Drosophila melanogaster: one gene and its partners. Changing the gene in region 2 together with the main gene of any one other region gives a genetic interaction. Each region holds a gene or a part of one and is shown on either strand. Other genes may lie near its edges.

Region 1 (5,348 bases), on a different chromosome or scaffold from region 2:
CACTGAAAGCGAGCAACTCCCACAGTTCACTTTCATTGATAAACTCGGCTCTTCGCTCTTCTTCTTCCCCCATGCAAATCCAATTGTCTGCTACTTACTTTATTTATTTTTTATTTTTTTTTCCTTCGTGGTGTGTGTGACATCAATCAGCATCACATCGTTGTTGTTGCTGCTGCTGTTTTATTTATTTATTTCTTTTTTTCTCTGTTGCTCGACAATTGAAGCTAACCAACATTAAACTATAACTTCCTCACAAGCACACTGAACGCACACACACGCACAAGCTGCACGATCTTGCACTCTCAACAAAAACCAAAAAAATAAAAAAAATAACGAATTTCATACACTTTTTATCACGCCGATTGTAGTAAAATATTAATTAAAAAACAGGTGGCGCGCACAAGTACATTTGAGATAAACGCGGGCTTACAGATATTCAAATAAATGCAATTTATAGAACGATTTCTTAGTTTATAAAACAAAAATAAAGAGAAAAACAACCGTTTTTTTTGTAACCGTTGCAGTTCGATCACTTGCACTTTTTCACTCAATTAAGCTAGCATTTGAGCACCGGCAGCACATTTCCTGTGTCATTCCCGTTATTTTGGCAACTAATTCGGTTTGTTGATTAAAAGCGATCGCGATAAGCGTACGCCGTTTGTAAAGTTTGTAAACCAACTGAAAATTAACCGTAATCCGCGCGCGCAGCCTTCGCGAAATGAAACGCGACGGTTTGCAGTGTGACCGGCTAGCCGATCGGCGGGAAATGCGCTTTCGCTATCAGTGTGACCGTGCAGCTCGCTGCTAACTGCCTGTTAAGCAGCAATGTTAGCTAACAGTGCGCTTGAATAAAAAAAAAACTGTTGCTTATTTTGAATTTTTTGTTTATTATTACTTTAAATGAGCTAAACAATTGGCAAACAAACACTAATAGATTTTGGGCGGATTGTGCAGCATGCGCAACATTTTGCCGTACCAGGTCTTCGCCTCGGGCGGCACAACCACCGGCAGCTCGAGCAATTCGCCGCGGGAGAACTTGACGGTCCGATAGGAACGACGCTGCCAGGCCTTGGCCTTCACCCAGACGGGCCTGCCGGGATGCTCCTCGGCGCGATTGCTATCGGCATGCCCGGCGCCAGACGTGCCGAGGCTACCGATTTTGCGGGACATAACCGATGGCCTTGAGAAGCCCAGCGGTGCCAGGCCGAGCTCCAGATCCCGGACGCGGGCCAACAGACTTCGCGTTGAGCCCAGGCACATCTCGTGGGCCACCGTCATCTCGTCGAGTGCCTGCCGCTTGATCTCTGCATACTCCAAGCGAGACTGCGTGCGCTCGAGTATCTTCTTGTAGGCCTCCTTCAGGTGGCGACCCATCTTGAAGAGCTCACGCCAGCTGGCGTACAAGTCACGCGCGTAGCGATAGCGCTGCAGGCACTTGCCCGCCTCCAGTTGCTTGGTCAGGTGGAAGGAGAGGACGCGCTCGTGGTCCTGCCGACACCCGACCAGCTCCTTCGTCTGCCGTTGGAACAGACGATCCAGTGCCGAGATGCGTGCTCTGCCCAGTTCCGAGCAGCGAACGAGATCCGCCAGTTGCCTGCGAATGCGCAGGTTATTCCATTGCAGTTCTCGCAAGGCCGCCTCCCTGCTACCGTGCATGATCATCCAGCGCGAGTCCTCCGGTTCCAGGCCCTTGGCCAACGCCTCCTGTTCCTCCTCCCAACACGATCTGCCGCCGTCGCGCTCGTGAAAATCGATGGCCAACTGGGCCTGTATTTCGTCCAGCGTTCGATTCATGGCGCCAATCTCACGCTTCATTTGCGGCCAGGCTATCTCCTCGATTTGCTCCGGCGACTGCTCCTCCAACTCCTCGCTCCCATCGGATACGGATCCGTCGATGTCCGAGACGCAATCATGGTGAAACAACTCGTTCTTCCTCTTCATGCTTTGGGTCTTCACAAATGTCTTCATGTTTTTTGCATTAGATACAATGTATATATATTTTTTTTGTGTAGTGTTTTATTGTTGGGGTTTTTAACTAAAATGTGTGTGTGTGTGTGTTAGCTGTTGGGGATTGCTCAAAACCTACTTGTTTCCAATTCAATTGACAACTAACCCTGACCCAGTCAGTTAAGGATAAACACGTTAGTTGGGAAATTAACATATGTAATCTTGCAGCGAATCGCATTTACAAATTAAGCGCACTTATGGTTTACAACTGGGATTGGATTGGACAAAAAAAAAAAAAAAGAAAATGGTCAAGGGAAGAGGGGTGAGCTGTGCTCACTAGTCCTTGAACTTCCCCAGAACGATGTCCTTGTAGAAGGGCACGCAATTCATGCGCACATTCAGACGCGCGCACAGCAGGAAAATGCCCGATAGCTTGCGATGAATGGAGTATATCTCCTCGGGCGGCGGGCACAATCGATGCGCCACCATTGTGGGCACCAGGGCGGCCAATCTTTCGGTGGTATTCTGTCGACCGAAATCGAAATCACCGTCGTAGCGAAAGATCTCGCCCAATATCATCACCGCATCCACGTGCGCCTGCTCCATTTGCTTCGTCTCGTAGCCGGTTAGGAAGCCCATTTCGCGCGACATCTCCAAAACGCCCTGACGATTGTTCTCGGCGGCGCTCATGATCACCCGGCGATAGTTGCGGATGAATTCATGCCTATAGAAGCGCGTCGAACCGAAGTCGATCAGCATTAGCCGGCGACTGGGCGCATCGTACAGAAAGTTGGACCAATTCGGATCCGTCTGCATGCACTCAATCTCGAAGAGCTCGCGCAGGCAGAGCTTCAGCACGGATGCGGCTATGTGGCGGCGATGCTCGTAGCTGGAAGTGAATTTTCAATGAAGCCCATTGATTACTATATGCATGTGCGTTTGCATCATTAGCTTACCTCAGATCGAAACACTTATCGAGCGGCACACCGGGCACCAGTTCGGTGGTCAGAACGCTGGACGTGGTCAGATCGCGCACCACACGCGGTACATAGTACTCGGGATAGGGCGCGATCATTTCGCGAAACTTCTCCGTGTATTCCGCCTCGCGATCATAGTCCACCTCCCATTGCAACTCACGTTTGGCCACGCGCACCACATTGTCGATGAAGAAACCCTGTGGAAAGACATCCCACACCTTCAGCATGCCCACCAAATTGTCAATGTCGCTCTCGATGCTCTGGGCGACACCGGGATATTGGATCTTAATGGCCACATCCATGCCATCGCTCAGCGTTGCCCGATGCACCTGGCCAATGGAGGCAGCCGCAAAGGGTTTGTCCTCGAAACTCTTGAGACGCTGTCGCCAATCGGCACCCAATTGGGTGTTCATCACGCGTTCGACCTGCCAATCGGGCATATAGTCCGCCGCCTGACGCACCCGCTCAAACGCCTTGGCCAGTTGCGGCGACACAACGCTGGAATCTTGTATGCTCAGGATTTGTCCGATCTTCAGGGCAGCTCCTCTCACCTTGCATAGCGTGTCCACGATGCGTTCAGCATTGGCGGGACTGAGCAACGCCTCTCGCATGCTGGTCGAACCGCCCAGGCCGAGTGCACCCTTGGTCAGCTCGTTGAGGGTTCCCAGGCCCAGGCCGGCGAACAGGCCGCCAAAGGAGGCCATTCTGCCTATCCGGGAGGAGGGAACCTTGCGCTGTTTGGCCACCTTGCTCAGTTCGGGCACTTCAATGGCCGGCTGGTCGGACTTCTTCTTCGGCTGCGCATCTGGTGGCTGCTCCTCCACCTTGGCGCCCGCCACAAACCGCAGCACATTGTTTACATACTCCGTGTCCTGGGTAATGATGCCCGGATTGGTTGACGTTTCTTTTTTGGGCATGGTCTGGTTGCTTTTGGTTGCCGGGGTGCGCAAGCTAACACTACGATCTTTGTTCCGGCGCGAGAGTATCTCCTCGAACTCCTGCAGCGTTATGGATGATATATCCAAGTTGGCGGCGTCCCAACTTGCTGGATTTTGTGCCGTGGGTGTGGATTTACGAATTGAGGAGACTTGTGCAGGCTCAGAGATGGCCGATTCCTCGCGGGACATCTTGATTTTCGTCTCCAGCAGCGAGCAAATACCTTTGGCCACCACGTAGCCCCTTTCGCCCGTTTCTTTTACAGTTTGCTGCAGTTTTTTCAGCTCCTCGGTGGGATTTTGACTGGAACTTCTCACCAGCTGCTGTGTGTGCGCCACATTCTCGGCGATTAGCTCACGAATGCTTGAATTGCTCCACAGATGACGACCGTGGGCGAGATGCTCGCGCCCACACGCCTCCAACAAGATCCGCAGTCCCCGCAGCAGCGCCGCAGCTTCTTGTGCGGATCGCGACATCGCGGAGCGAGGAAATACTGGTTTATTGTGCACTGCTCTCGCGTGGGTGATTCGCTGGTGATGATCGGCGCGTAGGATTACGTAAATCTCGTAAAAATATCACAGCAAAAAAAGTTCAAAGAATCGCGTAATGTTGTGAAAATGCGGCGAAAATCAGCTGGCAAAACAGCTGACTGGCCATCTAGTGCTGCCATGCTGGCGTTTTAACAGTGGCACCATGGCATCTTGAGCTTTTTCTAGCTTTTAAAAGCCAGCTTGCTGCAGCACTAGATTTTGCACTGAAGCCAGTGCTGTTTCTTTGGCTCTTTTAGCTTGCTTCAGCTTTTATGCAAAATTAGAAAGAAACATTCAACAACTAAACAACTAAAAATTTAAATACTCCATAAAAACTAGGAATACTGCTTAAGTGGCCTGCTAACAGAGGCCACATTTATTCAGCGGCATACCTTAGGTCGTACAAAATTTTACTAAATTAAGTTTGTTTACCGAAATCCAGATCACACGTTAATATATATACACAGCTATATAAAGTTTCGTGACTAACTGGAGTTTAAGCTATTCAATTACACTATAGCCACGCAAATGGAATCCTACTTCCTGGGCAGGCGACCAGCACGCTCCATGGTGGCATCCTGGAGCTCCCAGGCGGGCCGATAGCCACCCAGATCGCAGGAGCAGACGGCATCGGAATTAGAACCACATTCACACTCGGCATCGGTGCGTCGGAGGTGCGGATTAGGCACTGTGTTCGCACGATTCCCGATCGAGGTGTAGCCCCGATCGTACAGGCTGCAATAGGGCACCGAGTTCAAGTGGATGTAGTGCCAGACGTCGTGGTAGCTCCACTCCAGCAGCGGATTCAGGCGCATCATCGGCGGCCAGTCGTTGTCCGTGGGCTAAAAAAAAAATCGAAATTAGCATCACTAGGCACTTGGGGTTTCCTAATAGGAAACAGCAGTTTCGAACTTTCCAAAACTATTTCAAGCTAGCTTCATTATTATCTTTGTGATCT
Region 2 (9,152 bases):
AAAAGTAAATTCTGACAAATTGGTAATGAAATATTCAACTCATTCTTAAGAGCAGCTTGCTAGGTGGGTTAATTCCCCATTTTCTTGCCAAATTTTTCGACCAATGCGTTTTTTATTCCCCACTCAGTTGATGACTAATACGCATGCAAGTTCCGCGAAAAGTCCGCCCCCGCGCCCCTCTGCATTCCACAGATAGTTGCCAGCCAAATTGCAACTCAATTATAAATTGCAAAGGGGAAAATGAAATGAATGAAAAAAAAACCAGGCGAAGAGCGAAACCGAAACCAAAGCCAAGAAAAAACCCAAAACAGTCGCAGTGTAAAATTGTAGCTTAGGCAGCGCCAAAAAATACTAATTTATCTGCGAGTTTCGCATGCTAACTACCACACACACAAGCGCAGAAGGAAAAAGAGCTCGAAAACATCAATGGAAATGCCACGAAAATGCTAGTTGAGCTTTGGAAAAACCATGAAATGTGCGAGTACGAGGAAAATCTTCCGCGTTTGTGTAATGCAGGAAGATTTTCCATGATGTTTGTTTTGTATTCGCTTTACATTTTCCCCGAGCTGCTGAAAGTACATATGTATATGCACGCTTGTAAGTTTTGCAATCACTGGAAAAAAAATAGGGCATATAATTAAGGCAATTCCAGGTATCCATAGGTATTATATTTCTTTAAAAAGTACAAATACAAAAGTTGACATTGTGGAAACTCAAACAATCAAGCGTGTTATTGAAAATTATTCAGCATACCTGTTTTTTTCAGTGCTTTGACAATTTTCCGTGGGATTTGCATGTGGCGCCAAAATATCTGTAGATCACCATGTCGATTCAAACGAATCGATGGTACGAATCTGCTGGAAAAGCGCATCATCTTCTCTGGATAGCTTGAGATATCGCAGATGCGAGATGGAAGATCGCAGTTCGCAGATCGGAGATCGCGCATATTGATGATCGAAGATCGAAGATCCGAGAGCGAAAGCACAAGCTCTGTGCGAAAGAAAGCAGGTGAGAGCGTCGTCCGCTCGTAAAGAGCTCAAAACATGACACCCCAGATGGGCCGCCAGCTCGTGGGGCGAAGGGTGAGGTGGGGGGGGGGAGCTGTAGCCGGTCAGGGGGTGGTCCGCTGGTGCGAGAGGGAGAAAGAAGCGAGGGGTAGGGGACACCGTGCGAAAGTGAAATCGAACCTTCGCTGCCGGCGTTTGCGCTTTTAAGCAGCAACAAAAACAACTAAGCCGGGCCGGTTTCAAAGTTTACGAGAGGCGCGACTGCGCACAGTGATTTAGAATAAAAAAAGAAATAATAAAAATGGTGTTAAAGGCGTACGTACACGTATTTTTTAATAATATTTACTTAATATTTAGTGTATTTCTAGGAATTTTTATAGATACTTTAAGTTTCATTATTCATTTAAAACAAAAACACTAAAGAAGATTTAATAATAAAGACTTATGTAGCAAAATAATACACTATGATACACTGTGCGCCGGAGAATTGACTTTTCACAAGTGCAGAGAGTGCGCCGCTGCTGGCTTTAATAATTAATAACAAAAAAAAAAAACGAATTTGTAAGAGTTTCGTTATTTTTACAGGCGGTGAATGAAAATCCGTTTCGGTTTTAATTTTGGCTCCTGCTGCCGGCAGCGCAGCTTTGCTTTTTGGCCCGGTCGTTGATCTTTGTCCGACTGGACTTTCGTCACCAAGCGTTTTGCATACGTGAGCGACCGCTCACTGACGCGCTGGCCGGGCCCCAAATCCGCGAATTATAATTACCCATCGATTGCCGGGTGGGTGGGTGACTTTTCCTGCGATTCGGACGCACTTGCCAAGTGCTAATTACGGACAGGATCCTTACTCGGTCACAGTCCGCAGAAATAAAGATGCAAAGCTCGTCTTTAATATTTGTTGGTATAAATCGTATGTCTTAAATAAAAAAATCAAATCAAATGCACCTTTTGGAACATTTATAAACTATAAAAGCTTAAAAACCTTGTGGGCATGCCAATTTAACCCATCTAAGGGTTATAAAATCACAAGTATTGCACATGACCAATAAGGCATTAGACTAAAATGTAAGTCTTATGCAGGGGCATACCCTAGTAATCATGTTGCTTTTCATATAGTTTCAATTATACGTAGACTTACTAATAGTCCTTACATTTACAATGTATATTTGGAGTGTGAAAATCTTTACGATCACGATGTCCAGAATTTCCCCTACCCTTTGGGCAAAATCATGATTGTGTCGAGCAGTTCCAGGGGCAATTGGCAATGCAAATCAATTTTCAGATCTTTGCAAATATGCAGCTTTAATTAGTTAATAAGTGGCGCTGACTAGCAGCTGACACCGTCGCGACATGGCCATGGCTTTGGGTGCTACCATGACTGTTGGCTATGGCTATGGCTACCCAGGATTCCTCAGACGACTGCCGCTGATAAAGCTGGACTGGACCACAAATGGGCGTCGAGCGCAATTAGCGCCATATATCAATTACCGAGCAGTGTGGCACTCCACTCCGCTCCACATTACGTATACGCAGACGACGCGCCGCTAAGGTGTTTTCATTATAAATCATTTATTCAAATTGCATATTACGCCGACCGACTGGCTGTGGTCAGCACCTCGGCCAAGCTGACCACTGCTCTGATTGGGTTCCGGCGTCGGATCTTGTCGCGAACAGCTGATCGATGGATCGGACTGATCGGATCGGATCGGGTGAGTACATGGTATGATAACCACTTGACGCCTTCCAAGCGGACAGCTGTCGGGCGGCGATCGCCGAGAAAAAACAATATTTAAATAAATAGGAGTTTTCAAAGAATTCAAGCTGCTACACTCCGAAACTACCAAGGGAACTAATGTGTCCTGGAACGAAAAGAAAAGGCAATCAATCAATTTGCATTATATATATTTTTGACTAAAGATCGTTTCAGCCGTTCTTATTAAAAAGACCATAGTCTTTGGGAAAACTCCATTTATTTTTAGCTATTGGGTAAATTACATAAATTAGTTTGTTATCCCGTTGGTACACATCAAGTTTATCCATAAAAGACATATCCATTTACAAATGATTCACATATATTTCGTGTTTTTCGAAAAGCTTCGATCGAAATTCAGAAATTGTAGCTAAGACATGCACCTTCTTTAGCTAGTTTTCAAACCCAAAGTGATCTCACTTATGGATGTAAAGAAAAATATAACAAAAATGATTTGTTTTCGTTTTTGGTAAAAAGTCATGTAAATAAAAATCACACGTATTCAAAACTGTGCGCTCTGTAAAATAACTTTCAGAATTATAGTTCTTAAGTATCGGTATAACGCTTAAGCATCTTAATTCAATTTTGATTTAAAAGATCAATCTATTAGGGCTGCATCATCGGATTTTTGTCTTTTTTATTTATCATGGTAAATGCAATATCCGTAAAATCCTTATAAAATACATCATGTTGGTATCAAATTCTCTATGTAAGTCTGTGCACTCAAACTGAGATTTTCATGGTGGACACCGACGGATTATCCTTAGTCGCTAATGCGAGTACTTTAAGTTCGTTGGTATCATCAAATTCAAAACTTACAAATTACTTGACTTTATCTCACAAGTTGGTCTTCAGTTACGCTTTATTATATTTTTTTTTTTTTAGTGGAACTTAAGCGAAGTATAGCGTTAGAATATTATATTGCAGCTGAAACCTATCATTGTGATTCCCTTTTGATAGCGGGAAAAAAAACACAATCATAAAATTGCACTAGGGTGGGTCGATTTCTTCGATTTGCAGAATATGAGTTTATAAAATTATACACTTCCTAATAAACAATAAAAGTGGTCACCGGTTCTGTGTATTAGGCTTGAAGGCAACTAATTTCAAAGTTTCACGAAAGTATAGAATTTTATAGAAACCCACTCTGCAAGTAAGATATTTTGAAATATGGGAATATATTATTATATTATATTACGTTGTACTTTTTTCCCAAAAGGTTATAAGTATTTTTGTAACGGTTTTTTGTTTTAATACATATATATATATTTTTAATTGTAAACACATAACCGTTTTTCCAGTTTGAATCAATCAAATCGAACCACTCTGCTGTTTGATAATGGAATGTAAATTAATTTAAAGGCGTAGCTAGTGCCCTTGCACCCTATCCATTTCCAGACCGCCCTCCTCCTCCATTTTGCTGAGGAACTTGATAACCCGCTGGTGAGGCTCCGATTGCCGGATCATATCGATGAGAGCCAGCAGCTTCTTGATGCCGATACACAATCGCTTACCCGCCATTTTCCTGGCAATGCTCTGCAGCTCCTCGGGACTAAACAAATCAGAATCATCCAGCACGGCAAGCACGTTCTCGGGAGTTGAGAGATTGGACACATGCAGGACGGACGTGAAAGCCGAGAGCATTTCCATCTCCTCGAGAACGTCCCGCCGGCTGGAAGTGCACAGGATCAGCAGTTTTCTACCCTTTGGCGGTTGCTTTTTCAGTAGAACCAATAGCGCCTGCAGCGTGAGATTAGAGTACCTGGGTCCAATTGGACCGTAGTCTAGCAATCGCTCCACATTGTCCACCACAATGCAGCTCAATGTGGAGCGATAGGCGTCGTCGAAGATCTTGCGGATGTGCAGGCACTTGGCTGACTCCGTAAATCCTACCATATCTTCCGGGGAGCAGACCTTAACGAATGGGAAATCACTCAACTGGGCCAGATTAGCGGCCAGCGCTGATTTGCCGGAGTTGGGAGCTCCTTCGATGAGAACAGACACCAGGCCAGAGCTCTCAGTGGCCTTCGCCTGCTGTACGGAGAGCATTCCGTCCTCCAGGAGTTCGGTGACCGGTGGGCCCCAGTTTATAATTCCGCGTGCCAGCAGATTTTCCAGCATCTCCTGGGCTGCTCCAAAGGCGGGCTTGATGTCGTTGTCCAATGCGTGCAGAAAGTCGGCTCGCGTAACACGCAGTTTTTCCATAGCCTCCGGGTCCACGTGAACCTTGGATCGTAGAAAAGCAAATGATGATGGTAATTTTAGAATAGTGGAACAGTCGAACGTTAATCGCTTTCTTGGTTTATCGAAACCAAATTACTCGAAATTAAACGAAACCCGAAACGCAAACCGAGAGATAAATGAAATAAGCGAATACGCCAAATAAATAAAATAACATTTCGATCCGAATGTGAATTAAGAGAACCCCCTTTCTTTGCTTTCACGCCATGCTGTGCATCATATACCTTGGAGTCCGCCTTTATTAACCGATTCATGGCCGTGGATTGGGCCGCTCTAACCAGACCCTCCAACTCTGCGCCACTGAAGTTCTTTGTCTTGGCCGCGATCTCATTGTTGTCCACATCGCTAGCTATCTTGTTAAAGTCACGCATCCGCTTGGTGTGGATATTCAGGATCTGGACGCGACCCTGCTCGTTGGGCAAGCTGATCTCCATTTGCACTTCCAAGCGTCCAGGTCGCAGCAGGGCCTCATCGATCATGTCCCGCCGGTTGGTCATTCCTATTACCAGGATGTTGTTCAACTGCTCCACGCCGTCGATCTTGGCTAGCAGTTGATTGACGACCGTGTCGTGGACACCACTATTACCGGCCACGGATCCGCGAGCCTTGCAAATGGCGTCGATCTCGTCGAAGATGATGATGTGCAGTCCACTGTTCGGTCCCAAGCGCTTTTCCTCCTCCTCGGCCTCGGCAAACAGTCGCCGGATATTGGCTTCTGATTCACCCACGTACTTGTCCAGGATCTGCGGTCCATTCACGATCTTGGGTTCGCGGGCATTCAGCATGGTACCTATTTGCCGGGCCATCAGGGTTTTTCCCGTGCCTGGTGGTCCGTACAACAGAATACCCTTAACGTGCTTGATGCCCAGTTGTTCGACAAGTTCCGGCGGAAAAACACGAGAGGCGAAGGCGCGTCGGAAAATCGCATTGAACTCTTTGTCTAGGCCACCAATGCCCATCTTGCCAAAGTCCCAGTCCGGATTTATGATGGACTGCCGCACGATCTTACCCTTGGAGCGACCCTGCAGATTTAGCACAGAGTTTTCGGCCTTCTCGAACTGCACCACCGTGTTACCGAGGATGCGGCCGAATCGTACGTTCCGAGTCTTCGGTAGGGAATCGCCCACTGTTCGGGGATCCACTGCCTCCAGCGTTTTTACAGCGAGGCCCAGGAATTTCTTGTCTTTGAACTGAAAGGCGGTAAACATCCTTATTAGCAAACGAACGATATATGTACATTAAGGAGCATGTTAGAAGAATTACTATGTTAAGATAGTTGCATTTCCTATGAGGGCAGCCTAACACACTATTTTTAGTTCATAAAAAAGGGGGACATTGTATGCTGAATTATTAAAAAAGATTTGGCAGAGAGCCAAAAAGATGATCTAAGGGAGAGTTACGTGTCTTTGGGTTTCTAATTGTTGGAGGTAAGCTACCTTGTTAATATTTGCATTAGGTCACCGTCTAAATGTGGAATATGAGATTCAGCATCTCATGACAATCAAGACACGTCAGTAAATATAAAATAACGAATATCGAATAACACAAATAACGAATATTCTCACTACCGCTATGCTATGAACGTATAAATCTTTTTGTAAAGTTATACAAAACCAAAATTATTATAAGTGCACACAATAAATGGTGAAATAATGAATAGGTGCGTCCGAGATAAACCGAGAACCCTCATTGAATTGGGTAGTATTTTAACTGGCTCTGGCATATATCACTAATCCTCTCCAGATTACTACCTTAGTTTCAGTCCTTTGCTATCTATTTTTCTATACTGCATACATTTATGGGGGAGCCACATCCACACCATTACCTGAAAGACGAGCGTTTGGCCGACGGTCAGCGGCATTCCGGCGAACTGCATGAGGAACTCCTTGGCCATCTCGTCGGAGTCGTAGGGCTCCTGCGTGGTGGTCTTCTTCTGCAGGAAGTCCGTCTCGAAGGAGACCAGTGTGATGATATCGGCGCTGGCATCGAATCGGTACGGCCGCACGTCTATTTCCTGGTTGATGGAGAGCGTGGCCCACTTGCGCTGGACCAGCGAGAATCCGACGTGGCCGAGCGGCAGCTCCGGCCCGCTGATCTTCTCCAGCGCGAAGATGTAGTGCAGCCCCGGGCCCGGCGAGATGTCCACATATCTGCAGGGTATCAAGCGGTGCGTCATTAGCATAAGCGAAAGTTTCCATAGGCTCGTACGCCCACGTAGGAAGTGGAAAAACAACAAAAACCAACACTCACTTGACCTCCTCCGTGAAATCGGACACATTCACAATCGCCTTGTTCGTCAGGGACAGCTCATCCGTTGGGCATTTGATCGCTCTCATCCGGTGGGCTTTTTCAATTGACATTTTCGTAGCAATTTTATAATATAATCCCGAAATTGTCTCAAACAGCTGATAGCCCGTTGAGGGAGTGCAACCCTGTTCGGCATTGCGTGTGTGTATGCACTGTGATTGCGAGCAAAAGATGCCTGCTACGGCACCTGCAGTGCAAATTTGAATTCATTGGCGCGCATTTGCATTTTCTAATAATACATATATCCCCCGCATTCAAGACTTCTTCGCTGTTGCTAAGCAGCTCTGCAGCACCAGGATTGGTGAAGAAAACAATCCAAAAAATGTGTTGTATCAAAAGCCAAATCCTCTAAGTAAATAACGATAAAATGGGTGGCATTTGCAATTCAAATATCTTTATTTTTACTTATATATATATAATATGGTAATAAAACTTGTTATGCCAATCACCAAAGACACTAGAACAATATAATATATATATATAATATATAATATATATTATATATATAATTATGTATATATATATATATTGGACAACGACATCAAGCCCGCCTTTGGAGCAGCCCAGGAGATGTTGGGCCCACCGGTCACCGAACTCCTGGAGGACGGAATGCTCTCCGTACAGCAGGCGAAGGCCACTGAGAGGTCTGGCCTGGTGTATATATAATATATATATAATATAATAATCTAGTATCTTTGCAATCACATTATCGGGCTGTTCATTTTAGTCTTAAGAACATTGCAATGCAATGGAAGCAAGTTCATCCAAAAAATAATGCAATATTATTTTTTTAGATGGTTTTTTTATGCTTACGTGGTTCTTTTAAATATAAAGCATTACTGAATTATTTGGAATCACTTGGAATTATTTTCCTGGAATTGTAGATACAATATTGCATTTCCTAACCTAACGTCTTAAATGTATTGAGGTACAAGTGGACTAGAATGGTTCCCTACCCATCCCATTGCTTCGCCCAATTTCTTCAGCAATTTGGCAGCTCGACGGTCGGGATTTAGGGAATTCACCCACGCAATCAAGTCAAGCAACCGTTTGATGCCAATGGAGACGTTGCGGCCATCCATGGCGATCTCGATTTGGCGTAGCTCCTCGGGCTCGAATCGTTTTGAAGCTTCCACTATGACCATAAGTTCTTTAGGCGTGGAAACATTTGGCACATTGTGAACTGAAGTGAAAACGGATAGCAAGCCCAGTTCCTCCAGGACATCGAGACGATTGCTTGTGCAAATGATGATGAGCTCGTGGCTGTTGGGCGGTTGTTTCTTCAGAAGAACCGTCAGCTTCTGCAGGAACTCCTTGGAGTACCGCTTACCCAGGGCGCCGTAACCAATGACACGCTCAAAGTCGTCAATGATGACGCAGCTGCGCCTGGAAACATAGGCGTCCTCCAAGACTTCCCGTATTCTCTGGCATTTTTCGGAATCGCTAAGTCCCAGCAATTCGGCCGACGAGATGTATTTTATAAAAGGGCAGTCTGTTTTCAAAGCCATTTGAGCGGCCACCGTAGTTAGGCCTGACTTGGGCTTACCTTCGACCAGATGGCAAGACCATCTTGGGCGTCCGGTGGACAGGAGATCATTCGGATCGAAAGCGGTACGATCTAGATATTCATATGGCATGAGCAGCTGGAGAGTCTCCTCCTGCCGGCCAAATCGTGGCTGAATGATCTTTACCGCGGCCAGGAGATCGACCTGAGTGACTTGAAGGCCCTTCGGGCATCTGGTGACGTGAGTGCGGACAATGGCTTCATGGAGGGCTTCTCGGACCAGTTGGCACAGCTCGTCCTCCGTGAAATTTTTGGTTTTCATTGCAATTTCGCGTGCGCAAAC
Region 3 (9,500 bases), on a different chromosome or scaffold from region 2:
AATCTTTCTCGGTGGCCGTTGTTTTATTTTGACTGTGCAAACGGATTCCGCTTATGATGCCATGATGATGGCTCCGCCTCTTCCCCCAATGATTCATTCATTGTTGCCCACTCTGTATCTCTACTCATCTCCGGCGGTCCAAGCAACCACCGGCGGCACTCGGCACTGGCACCACCAAACGCTAACCCACCGCATCACCACCCACCACCCAGCACACGGAACACCACCACCCACCACAAGTGCTCAGTGCAGCGAAATGCATGACGCAGATGGCAAAGTAAGGTATATGGGAACGAACGAGGTTGGGTTGGTTGCTGGCCATTCGGGGGTTTTCTAGCCAAAGTGGCGGGTTTTCAAAGAACTAATCTGCCCAAAGGACCAATTGTAATGTGAGCACATCACTAAAATAATCGATAGATTGCCATATCTGATGGGGTTTTGGGTGGCTGCCTGGGAGACTGGGGTGCGTATAAGCCTATTTGGGGCACTTCAGATGCAGCATTGCAGTGGTAGCGGCTGTCCTCCTTCATCCTTCAGCCAGCCGTCGGAAGAATGTCCACTCACACGTCACGGCTGTGGTGCTCTGCGCAATTAAGGCACCGCCGAGGACCCGGGTACCCACTGGTGATGACACCACGGCGCTGCTGCTGGGTCAGGTGGTATTGGAAATCGAAGACAATGGGGCTGCTTAAATTCATTTTAATAATTGCGTGTAAACCGCCCGTTGACGCAGGTGAAACGCAGGCGAGCAGGTGAGCCGGGCCAGTACATATACCTGGTCGAGTCGCGTCCATGTGGCCCGGCACTCGTGTGGAAACATTAGCACATGCCGGGAAAACGAGACCCGACTCCGAAAGTGTCCAATGCGACGGCGACGGCGATGACGTGCTAGCGCTAGAGATCAAGAATCCAGAGAGTCAAGCAGCCAAACAACAGCCAAGCGACCAAGCGAATCGCCCATCTAGCAACAGTCTAACAATCACTCTAATCGAGTCGTAAACCTGTTCATGTTGTTCCACCCAGCCATCTTGTTGGGTACCTAAGCGCTAGAAGGGACAGCCTATGGTGGCTATTCGTATGCGCTACAATTGGTTTTGTATCTGAACGGTGAGCTGCGCTACTCTTCATACATTGTTTACCATGCTATCGATGATATCATATCGAAATAAAGCTGTCAAAAGAACTGAAACTTCCGTTTTTGAAAAGCCTAACAACCCGATTAGAAGAAATCTATTAAGCACCGCATTAAGCTGAAAGAGCGAAAAACTTAATCGCCGTGAATACAAGCTGATGTGTGTGTTTTAGATACACATGCTAGCTGAAGCGTCTGGCTATCGATTGTGTTTGCATTGAGATTTGTTCGCACCTTTATGCTACAGCAAATTAATGACGCAACAACGTGTAAGTGCACTGGGAGAAATTCCTGAGGCAGGTCAGTAACGACAACGGTCGGGGAAAAATCCCTTGCGTTAGTTTCGTGTTCGAAAGGGCCATAAAATTTCCGAATCGACAGATGTTTGGGTTCCGGGAAGCAGGACCATCCATCCATTTCTGCCTGCTTGAGATCCTACCTACCCGGTGGTTGCCTGCATTTGAAACCGTTGTCTAACCTTGAAGTAACTACGGTCGTACCAACCAAGCCGATAACTCGAGAAATTGGCACAGGTTGTCCTCAGGAATCTAGATACCATTGTTCAACACCGAGAGGTGGTCTCACAAGCCCGATGAGCACGACTATTCGTATCGCGAGAGACCCACCAATCTTGGGCCGACGAGCGTCAAGCCACTCGAACGGATACTGAGAGTTCGGCGGACGGAAAGTGAGACAGTGACAGCCAGAGAAGAACGGTAGGCGGCCCATGGAAGCACAGCGAAATGGAGACGCAAATCGGCTTATCAGGCAGCGATGTTCAGGCAAAAAGTCATCGCTGCTCCTCAAATATGTGATAACTGAGTGGACGACGGGCCACGATTACAGGTGTTTACGTTCACCATGCCGCCTCGGTTGGGATGCCGCGGAACATGTTCGCCGGTTTTAATTAGCGATCCGCCTGTCGACAGTCGTCCGCTCGCTCTGTCGTCGACCGTATTATTCAGATTACCAGATATATAGCCTAGGTATTCGTATTTGCCATTGCTTTCGCACGAAAATAGCTGAAAGCGTGAGAGGCTGTCCAATCGAAACTCGACTGTTGGATACCCGGCAAACGATAGTTATTACCCTTTCGTCGATAGGCTACTGGAAATAGCACCAAGAACCTTATGTCTTCCGGTCGAATTCCTCTAGTATTACTTTATGGGTTGTTATTCCGCTCGTTAATGTGCACATTTTGAATGAACTTGAAGATCAACCTCGCAGTGATTGTCCCACTGATAACACAGATTTATAGAGAAGAGCCAGTACAACTCGAGCACGTTGACTACCAGGTGATATGGGCGATATGTTATAGCCTACTCGGCAGTTCCAGTTTCCCATATATTGGGCGATTCCTGAACCCACTGGGTTCGTGCGGCGAACGAAGCCATCACCATCAAATGGTCGAACCACAAGTGCGGGATCAACAGAAAGATTGGCACATGAAAAAAGAGTCAAGGGTGGACCCAATTCGACGAGTGATAGGCATTGGCATTTAAGTCGAAGTCTTTGGTGGGGCCATTAGGACTTAAGGATGTTTAATATTTCTGGAAATTGCCGATTTCGAAAACTAACCCTTAAATGTTTTCGAATCTTATGGGGTTGCAAATTGCTGTTTTCTTGCTATTTCTCCAGTTCTCTAATTCTAGTTTTAAGACGCATAATCCCGGAATAGAGCATTTCCCCGATTGCGTGCATCTAAATAGTTAGAATCTCAAAAATAGCTGCCCGCTTTCCTGGTCCGCGAAAATCACCTGCTTCCCCACACGTTACCAATCAATTGACCCCAATCCGCGACGACATTGCGTCCCACGCTGGTCCACTCTATAAATACGAATACCGTGCTGAATACAACACACAGCACACACATCTGCATCTGCGGCAACAATGCTGCAACACTTCTTCCCATCGGCAACATCCACATCCACTGTTCTGCTCTGTTCTGTTCTGTTCCACCGACGAACGGTCAGAACGCCACAGAGTGACTGCACCACACACACCACACACCACCATCGCCGCTACCAACCCCCAGACCCCGCCCCCAGGCCCACAAGCGCACCACTGGCGCGCGCAATTTTCAAATTTACCGCCAAACGCGCCCACAACCGTACTCACGGAACCCAAGCAGATTTTGTATGGAATTAATCAGGAAACCCACTCAACTTGTCATTTGCGGATCTAGTTTTGATCGCAGCGCCTCGGGAAAAAGCCCAAAATTAAGCGGATACTACCAGCTATAGCCTCGATCAGTCTCTGAACCGATCCGAACAAAGGTATTCAAGTTATAGGCAAAAATGTCTGCAACCGATTTGGCGCAAGAAGAAGCAAGCGGCAATTTCTAGCCATCGAACGGACGGCAAGCTCAGTCTTGTACGAACCGTCGACGGGAGCACATATCGGTGGTTAGCAAACCAAAGGAAAACGGATATTCCATACATCAGTGGGGCCTACGAGTAAATCCTTTTGCCTGCCGTAGCGCCGCCTGATATATGGCACCTCCTAAAGCCTTACTATATAGATACTATATTATCAGAAAATCACCGCAAAATAATATACCAAAAATCCAACGATCGCTCTGCTCTGGGCTGTTGTTGTTGTCTTATCGACTGCGGCTGTACAAATGCCGCGGCGATTTTTTGAGTGTATTGTATGGGCCAATGGCGTGGGAGAGAGAGAGCGAGTGAGCGTCGTAACGATTTCGGGGAGAGCGAAAAAGAGAGCAGCGAGAGCGTTTAAAGAAAGTTACTCTCTCCTCGAGAGGCAGTGCTTAAATAGACGGCCCGCAGCTGAATCGCATTCAGTGTGTTTGTGTGCTTCGTTCGGTGCGGTTCTCTCTGTCTCTCTCTCGCCTTCCCCGAGTATTTTGCGCTGGTTTTTTGTCAACAACAAGACAATCCACAAAACCAACCCGAATTGTTCTCTATATAACGCAGAAACTAAATAGTTCCGGAAAACCTCAAAGAAACCAATTCAAATATGTCGGCTGCTACGGAACAACAGAACAACGGCGATGTGGCCGTGGAGAAGGTGGCGGCAGATGATGTGTCTGCTGTCAAGGACGATCTCAAGGCGAAGGCGGCCGCCGAGGATAAGGCCGCTGCTGCCGATGCCGCCGGCGACGCGGCCGACAACGGTACGTCAAAGGACGGCGAGGATGCCGCCGATGCCGCCGCCGCTGCCCCCGCAAAGGAATCCGTGAAAGGCACCAAGAGGCCAGCAGAAGTGAGTACTGATCTATGTGACTAGGTAGTTGTTTACGCGGTAAAACCAAAAGGAGGCCCCTCTAATGATTCACTCCAAGCCAATATGCCAGTAGCATAGCATTGTTCGAGGAAAAATTCTAGAAATAGATATACACACGTTTTTCGGAACAGCGCACTCTCCCAATGGCTTACATATGCCCCCAAAAGAGAGAGCGTATAGCTGGCTCGGTTGTGCGTTTGTGTTGTTTACGATTAACCAAGATGATTGCGGGTCCGGCAATCAAAGATTATTGTTGTTAGGTTCAAATCGAGGTTAGGAGGGCCGCCGTGCTTATATAGGCGGGGAGTACAGTTAGCCAGGGCCTTTTCTTTGGTGGGGTGGGTAATGTGTTTTTAATAAACCCATAGGTCATTAGCATTGACGTGTCCGCTGAACAGCGTTACCCAGCAATAGATACATTGTGGCATTACGTCTATAACTCATACGCTTGGCCTTATTTATCAGTCGCTGTGGCTACGGGAATTGCAAATGCAAACGCAAACGCAATTCAGCGCGATGCCAATGCACTCTCTCAATGAAAACACACATTGCCGGCCGGTAAATTACTCATGTCATGTTTGGCCACTTTATTTTTGGTTAGTATCGCCAAGAGCACGCGGTATTCGAACAAGTTTTGGGGGCCTGAAGCAGTCGCATTCCATAATCGAGTAGCACATTTCTTGATAAAAATAAAATAGTTCGGCCAGTAAGGCAGATAAATTGGCAAATCAAGCGCTTTTCTCAGACTCAAACTCGAAATAAAAATGTACAGTTTAACGGGAGCGTTCTCTCGCTCTCTCTCTCTCTCCCCGGAGAAAGATAGATACAAATAGAGAGCGCTGCTAACTCTCTCCCTCGTAATTTGTATACACACCGTTTTGTCTGTTTGCGTATGTGCTTACATTTATCTTTCACTTTTTTTTCTGCTCTGCCTTATGCGTATTTATTTTAGTACATAAAACAAGACGGCTAAACAGGGTGTCGCAAAAGTTAGTTGGGTTTCTTCGGGATTCAATTGAATAATGATCATTATCCCATGATCATGAATTAGTTGAGATACGTTTGGCACGGATAATTCTTAGTGGTACAGTAACGAATTGTATAGATTTCAAGAATAGTTTTGAAAATTATTCGTTGGTTTCCATATCTTTCGATTCCAAACAACAGATTAGCTTTTGTCCCTATAAATGTATCTTCACGCTTAGAAAACACAAACTAAAACCTCTAACTAAATCAAGATACATTGATTACCCAGTTATAACACCAGTAATAGTAGGCTTAGTTCTTGCCAATACAGATACACCCTGTTCGTCTTAATCCTCTATTGGCCTTTTCTCGAGTTCTGGGTCTCGTGACTTATGCTGTAAGCGAAGTGAAAAAGGGGGGCGATGGGTGGCCATTAATTTTGCACATTTTTCCACAGTCCGATTGTTTTTCGCTTCTTCCGCTTTGTAACAGTCTGGTAAATAGGGCCCTTGTGTTGCGGCTTCTCTTCGACTTGGGAACGTGACCGCCTATATACTGCCATAAACCATATACCATTATGTGTATCTTGTTGTTGGTTGGTCAGCGGCAAAAGTTAAACCCACGCATGTTGTTGTTTTGCGCCTTTTTCGCTGCCGACGTCGCTGCAGCAGCTGTCGTTCGGATGGCTGTGAGTGAGAGCGAGAGATTCATTCATGCAGTTCAGGTACAGTTTACAGTGCTGCGGATTCAGATGCTCTCTCTCTGGCGCTCTCGCCCGCTCTCTATCTTACAGGGCACGCTTCGTTTCGTATCTCACGGATGCGGATACATATGTCGCTGCCGGCGTCGCTGCTTATTGTTTTTTTTTCCTTCCCCCTTATGTAGTAAATATGTCGCCTTGTACATACGGAGCACAGATGTAATGTAGCGCGGTTGCACTTGTAATCCACTCTCTCACGTACTCTCTCTCCCGCTGTCTCTTTTTGCCGCAGCGAATTACATTGGCGCGCGCATTTTTCAAATGTTTTTTTACGGCGAAAATAACGATTTTCGTCGCTGCTTGTTTTGTGTGCTGAAAATATACATTTTATGACTATGTACACACGCACAGGAAGTTGAGAGGGGTATTGGATGCCCTTGATCAAGGAGATGTGTGGGTTTGAGTTGGGCGCGTAGGACCATTTCGCTCCGTAATTCTCCCTAATATCCTTTAGTTTGTTTCTCAGATTAATATCAAAAATGCATAATTAATAGTGACGGGCCCCTTATTTCTGTTCAATAAACTTGCTTGTAATACAGTAAATCATCAGCGGAACAAAAACCAAAGGAACTCTACTAACTTCTCTTTTTTCGCTTCCAGGCCAAATCCGCAGAATCAAAGAAGGCCAAGAAGGCCGCGGCCGCCGATGGAGATTCCGATGAGGAAGAGGCTCTGGAGGAAATCATCGAGGGCGACAGTGAAATCGAGAGCGACGAGTACGACATCCCCTACGATGGTGAGGAGGATGACATTGAATGTGATGGTGAGTTCACGGAAGCACTTCCCTTTTCCACATCAATCTAATCCCCGGATTTTCCCTTTCCCTTACCCGCGCAGATGATGATGATGATAATGATGACGGTTCCGGCTCGGACGATCAGGCGTAATAATAATGTAGTCAAAAATACAAACAAAAACAAACAAAAATTTAAATTAATAATAAATAAAAGTTACAAGCAAAAACAAAACAAAAAAAATATAATAATAAACCAACAAGCAGAAAATAAACCACAACAAGGAGAAAATGAGGAGGAGGAGGAGAAAAAAACCACAAAAAAATCGCAAAAGTATATAATTTTTATGTTTAAGAAATAATTTTTTATTTCTTACCTTATTTTAATTGTATTTTATGTGTACTTTTTTTATAAAAAACTACAAAACAAACAAAAATTGTAATTGAAGGCATTTTCGTATAAACGCAACCTATACGGAATCCAACAAAAAGTAAACATCCCCACTATATACAAGAACAAAACAAAACCAAAATCTTTCTTTCCTTTATCTCATAAGTCCTAATTTAAACGCCCAGTTGATGCGTAAACCAAGATATACAAAGATTTCAAATGTAGCGTAAACGAAGCCCGCGAATTAAACACAGATACACTACACTCACACACACACACGATATTCAAATTCATTATTAAATTAGACGTTACATTTGTGAATGAATGATCGATCGAAAGAAGCAAAAATACAAAAGTGAACATTTGAAAATGAACATGATTATGAACATGAAAAAGAAACAGCAAATGCAATTAAATACAAAACAAATAAAACATAAAAATTGTATTTAAATAAATCGCAAAAATCATTGAAACCCCATACTCGACAAGCATTCAATGACACTCAAGTTTTAGCTATGGTTTCAAAAATTTCGCGCCCATTGTGGCCACAGTCACCCGAATTTCCCAAACCCAAGGCACTGGGACTTAGTTGGTCTTCGCTTTTGGGGCAAATACAAAAAAAAAAAACAAAAAAAAATGAAAGGAAAACATCGGGAAGTTTGAGTTCTAACCTTCTGTTTCGTTTCAGCATTTAACTATAAACTATGACTAATCTTAAGTACTTATGTCAGTATTAAAGCGAGGGCTTTATTATTCTGTTGATAAGTTGTGCGAGCGAGTCGTTGATAAGCCTAATTCATTTGTAAATTGTAAAAACCAACTCGAGAATCGAAAAACGAGCAAGAAAATAAACTTTTAATGTTACATGTATCTAATTAGTAAGGGCATCCAAACTATTTATACACACACCCCGTACGACGAGTTCTCAATATAAACATATAACGACTGATATTTCAAAACGAATCGTGCCCAGCTGGTCAATCACGGCACTCGACACCGAAACCACCCAACCACCACCATCCTCGAATCTAAACGATTTGTCCCGGAAAGACAGACCAGCCCAACATACACACACAATCCACCCACTGACCCAGATCCAAACTCCAAGAGGCTTAAAGCTGGTAATGCCAACCAGCAACTGAATAATTGAGTGCAATTAAACCAATATGCCCAAGATAAATCATCCGATTTGATAACTGATAAACAATAGCGATATCACAGACAATGTTAAAGAACTATGCATTTTTGTAAATACCAATTACTCATGTATCTGCTCCGTGCGAGAATAACATCTAGTAGCGCGAAAGGGCAAAAAGAGAAAAGAACCACGAATCGAAAACGAGAATAAGAAACAATTTTGAACGATGAAATAAATTATTGTAATTACGTAAAAGCGAAAACCGTACGTACATACCACCCATTTGGCATCTGTTCCGATGCCAATAAAAGTTTGTTTCAATTGCAGTTGGCCATTTTGGGTGGGGCAATCACCTCGCTTCGGTGTTCCCAGGGGTAGTAGTTCTTAGCCAGGAGCATGTACGTATGTAGGTACATAATTCATAGATTGGCCGCCCCTACATTACTCCGATCCATCCCTTCCATATCCCAGTTTTCGTTCGGGGGTTGACGAGCTGGTTCCCACAATCCTCCCTATGAAAGAAATCATATACTAAGGGATGATGGAAAAATTCAATCGGAAATTTCCTTTGATTAAGTACCTTTTTCGGATTGAAAATCGATTAGCCTTAGCAGATGCCTATTAAAAAAACGAATGATGAAATTCCGGGCTCTTCGTTGGGCAAATGAAGTTGAGCTACTTTTATATTCAAATTCAAATATAAGCGCAAAAATTTCTAAAAGTTTAAGAGCTTTTAAGTTTCATAAGCCATTTCTTTCATTTATTTCAACTTTTATTAAAATTATTCTCCATATTATTTAGTATCAAATTTAAGAATAAACGCCTAAAAAAGTTTATCTTTTAATTAAAATACAACTTTAATTTGATGCTATTGCACGAGTCATGATGATGCCAAGTACCTGGTGACCTTCAGTATGCACAAATGCTCGCCAGGAATGCGTCGCTCCATGAACTTAACAGCCCGGAACTGGAGGCCCTCTAAGTATTTGATAATCTCCTCCGGCTTGTTCTCCCGCAGCAGGAGTAGGTAGAGCACGCCTCGAGGCGAAAGAATGTCATCCAATTGCTTGAGTAGAATGTCCGTGACGCGTCGCCCGTCCTGTCCACCAGCCCAGGAGAAAACCAGATTGCGAT

The links. A genetic interaction does not mean that the proteins touch.
Region 1: of Nsf2 (region 2) and CG32650, changing one suppresses a phenotype caused by changing the other (phenotypic suppression), as found in Drosophila melanogaster (one study listed by BioGRID).
Region 3: of Nsf2 (region 2) and Bacc, changing one suppresses a phenotype caused by changing the other (phenotypic suppression), as found in Drosophila melanogaster (one study listed by BioGRID).

What each region holds. Positions count from the first base shown.
Region 1 is NC_004354.4:12,896,620-12,901,967, forward strand, and holds CG32650 (uncharacterized protein), read right to left. Parts: upstream 2,051-5,348; 5' UTR 1,969-2,050; coding exon 928-1,968; 3' UTR 884-927; downstream 1-883. Other genes in the region: Coq8 (coenzyme Q8), read right to left, coding at 2,284-2,836, 2,904-4,336; Flad1 (flavin adenine dinucleotide synthetase 1), read right to left, coding at 4,927-5,232.
Region 2 is NT_033777.3:13,830,555-13,839,706, forward strand, and holds Nsf2 (N-ethylmaleimide-sensitive factor 2), read right to left. Parts: upstream 7,438-9,152; 5' UTR 7,359-7,437; coding exon 7,249-7,358; intron 7,149-7,248; coding exon 6,824-7,148; intron 6,189-6,823; coding exon 5,223-6,188; intron 4,984-5,222; coding exon 4,126-4,983; 3' UTR 2,943-4,125; downstream 1-2,942. Other genes in the region: CG31495 (uncharacterized protein), read right to left, coding at 8,220-9,152. UniProt on the Drosophila melanogaster protein: Required for vesicle-mediated transport. Catalyzes the fusion of transport vesicles within the Golgi cisternae. Is also required for transport from the endoplasmic reticulum to the Golgi stack.
Region 3 is NT_033779.5:2,749,304-2,758,803, forward strand, and holds Bacc (bacchus), read left to right. Parts: upstream 1-3,141; 5' UTR 3,142-3,537; intron 3,538-3,691; exon of another isoform or gene 3,692-3,765; intron 3,766-3,929; exon of another isoform or gene 3,930-4,068; 5' UTR 4,069-4,111; coding exon 4,112-4,357; intron 4,358-6,704; coding exon 6,705-6,867; intron 6,868-6,941; coding exon 6,942-6,991; 3' UTR 6,992-8,617; downstream 8,618-9,500. Other genes in the region: HemK2 (HemK methyltransferase 2), read right to left, coding at 9,247-9,500. UniProt on the Drosophila melanogaster protein: Negatively regulates tyramine beta-hydroxylase tbh and thus the conversion of tyramine (TA) to octopamine (OA).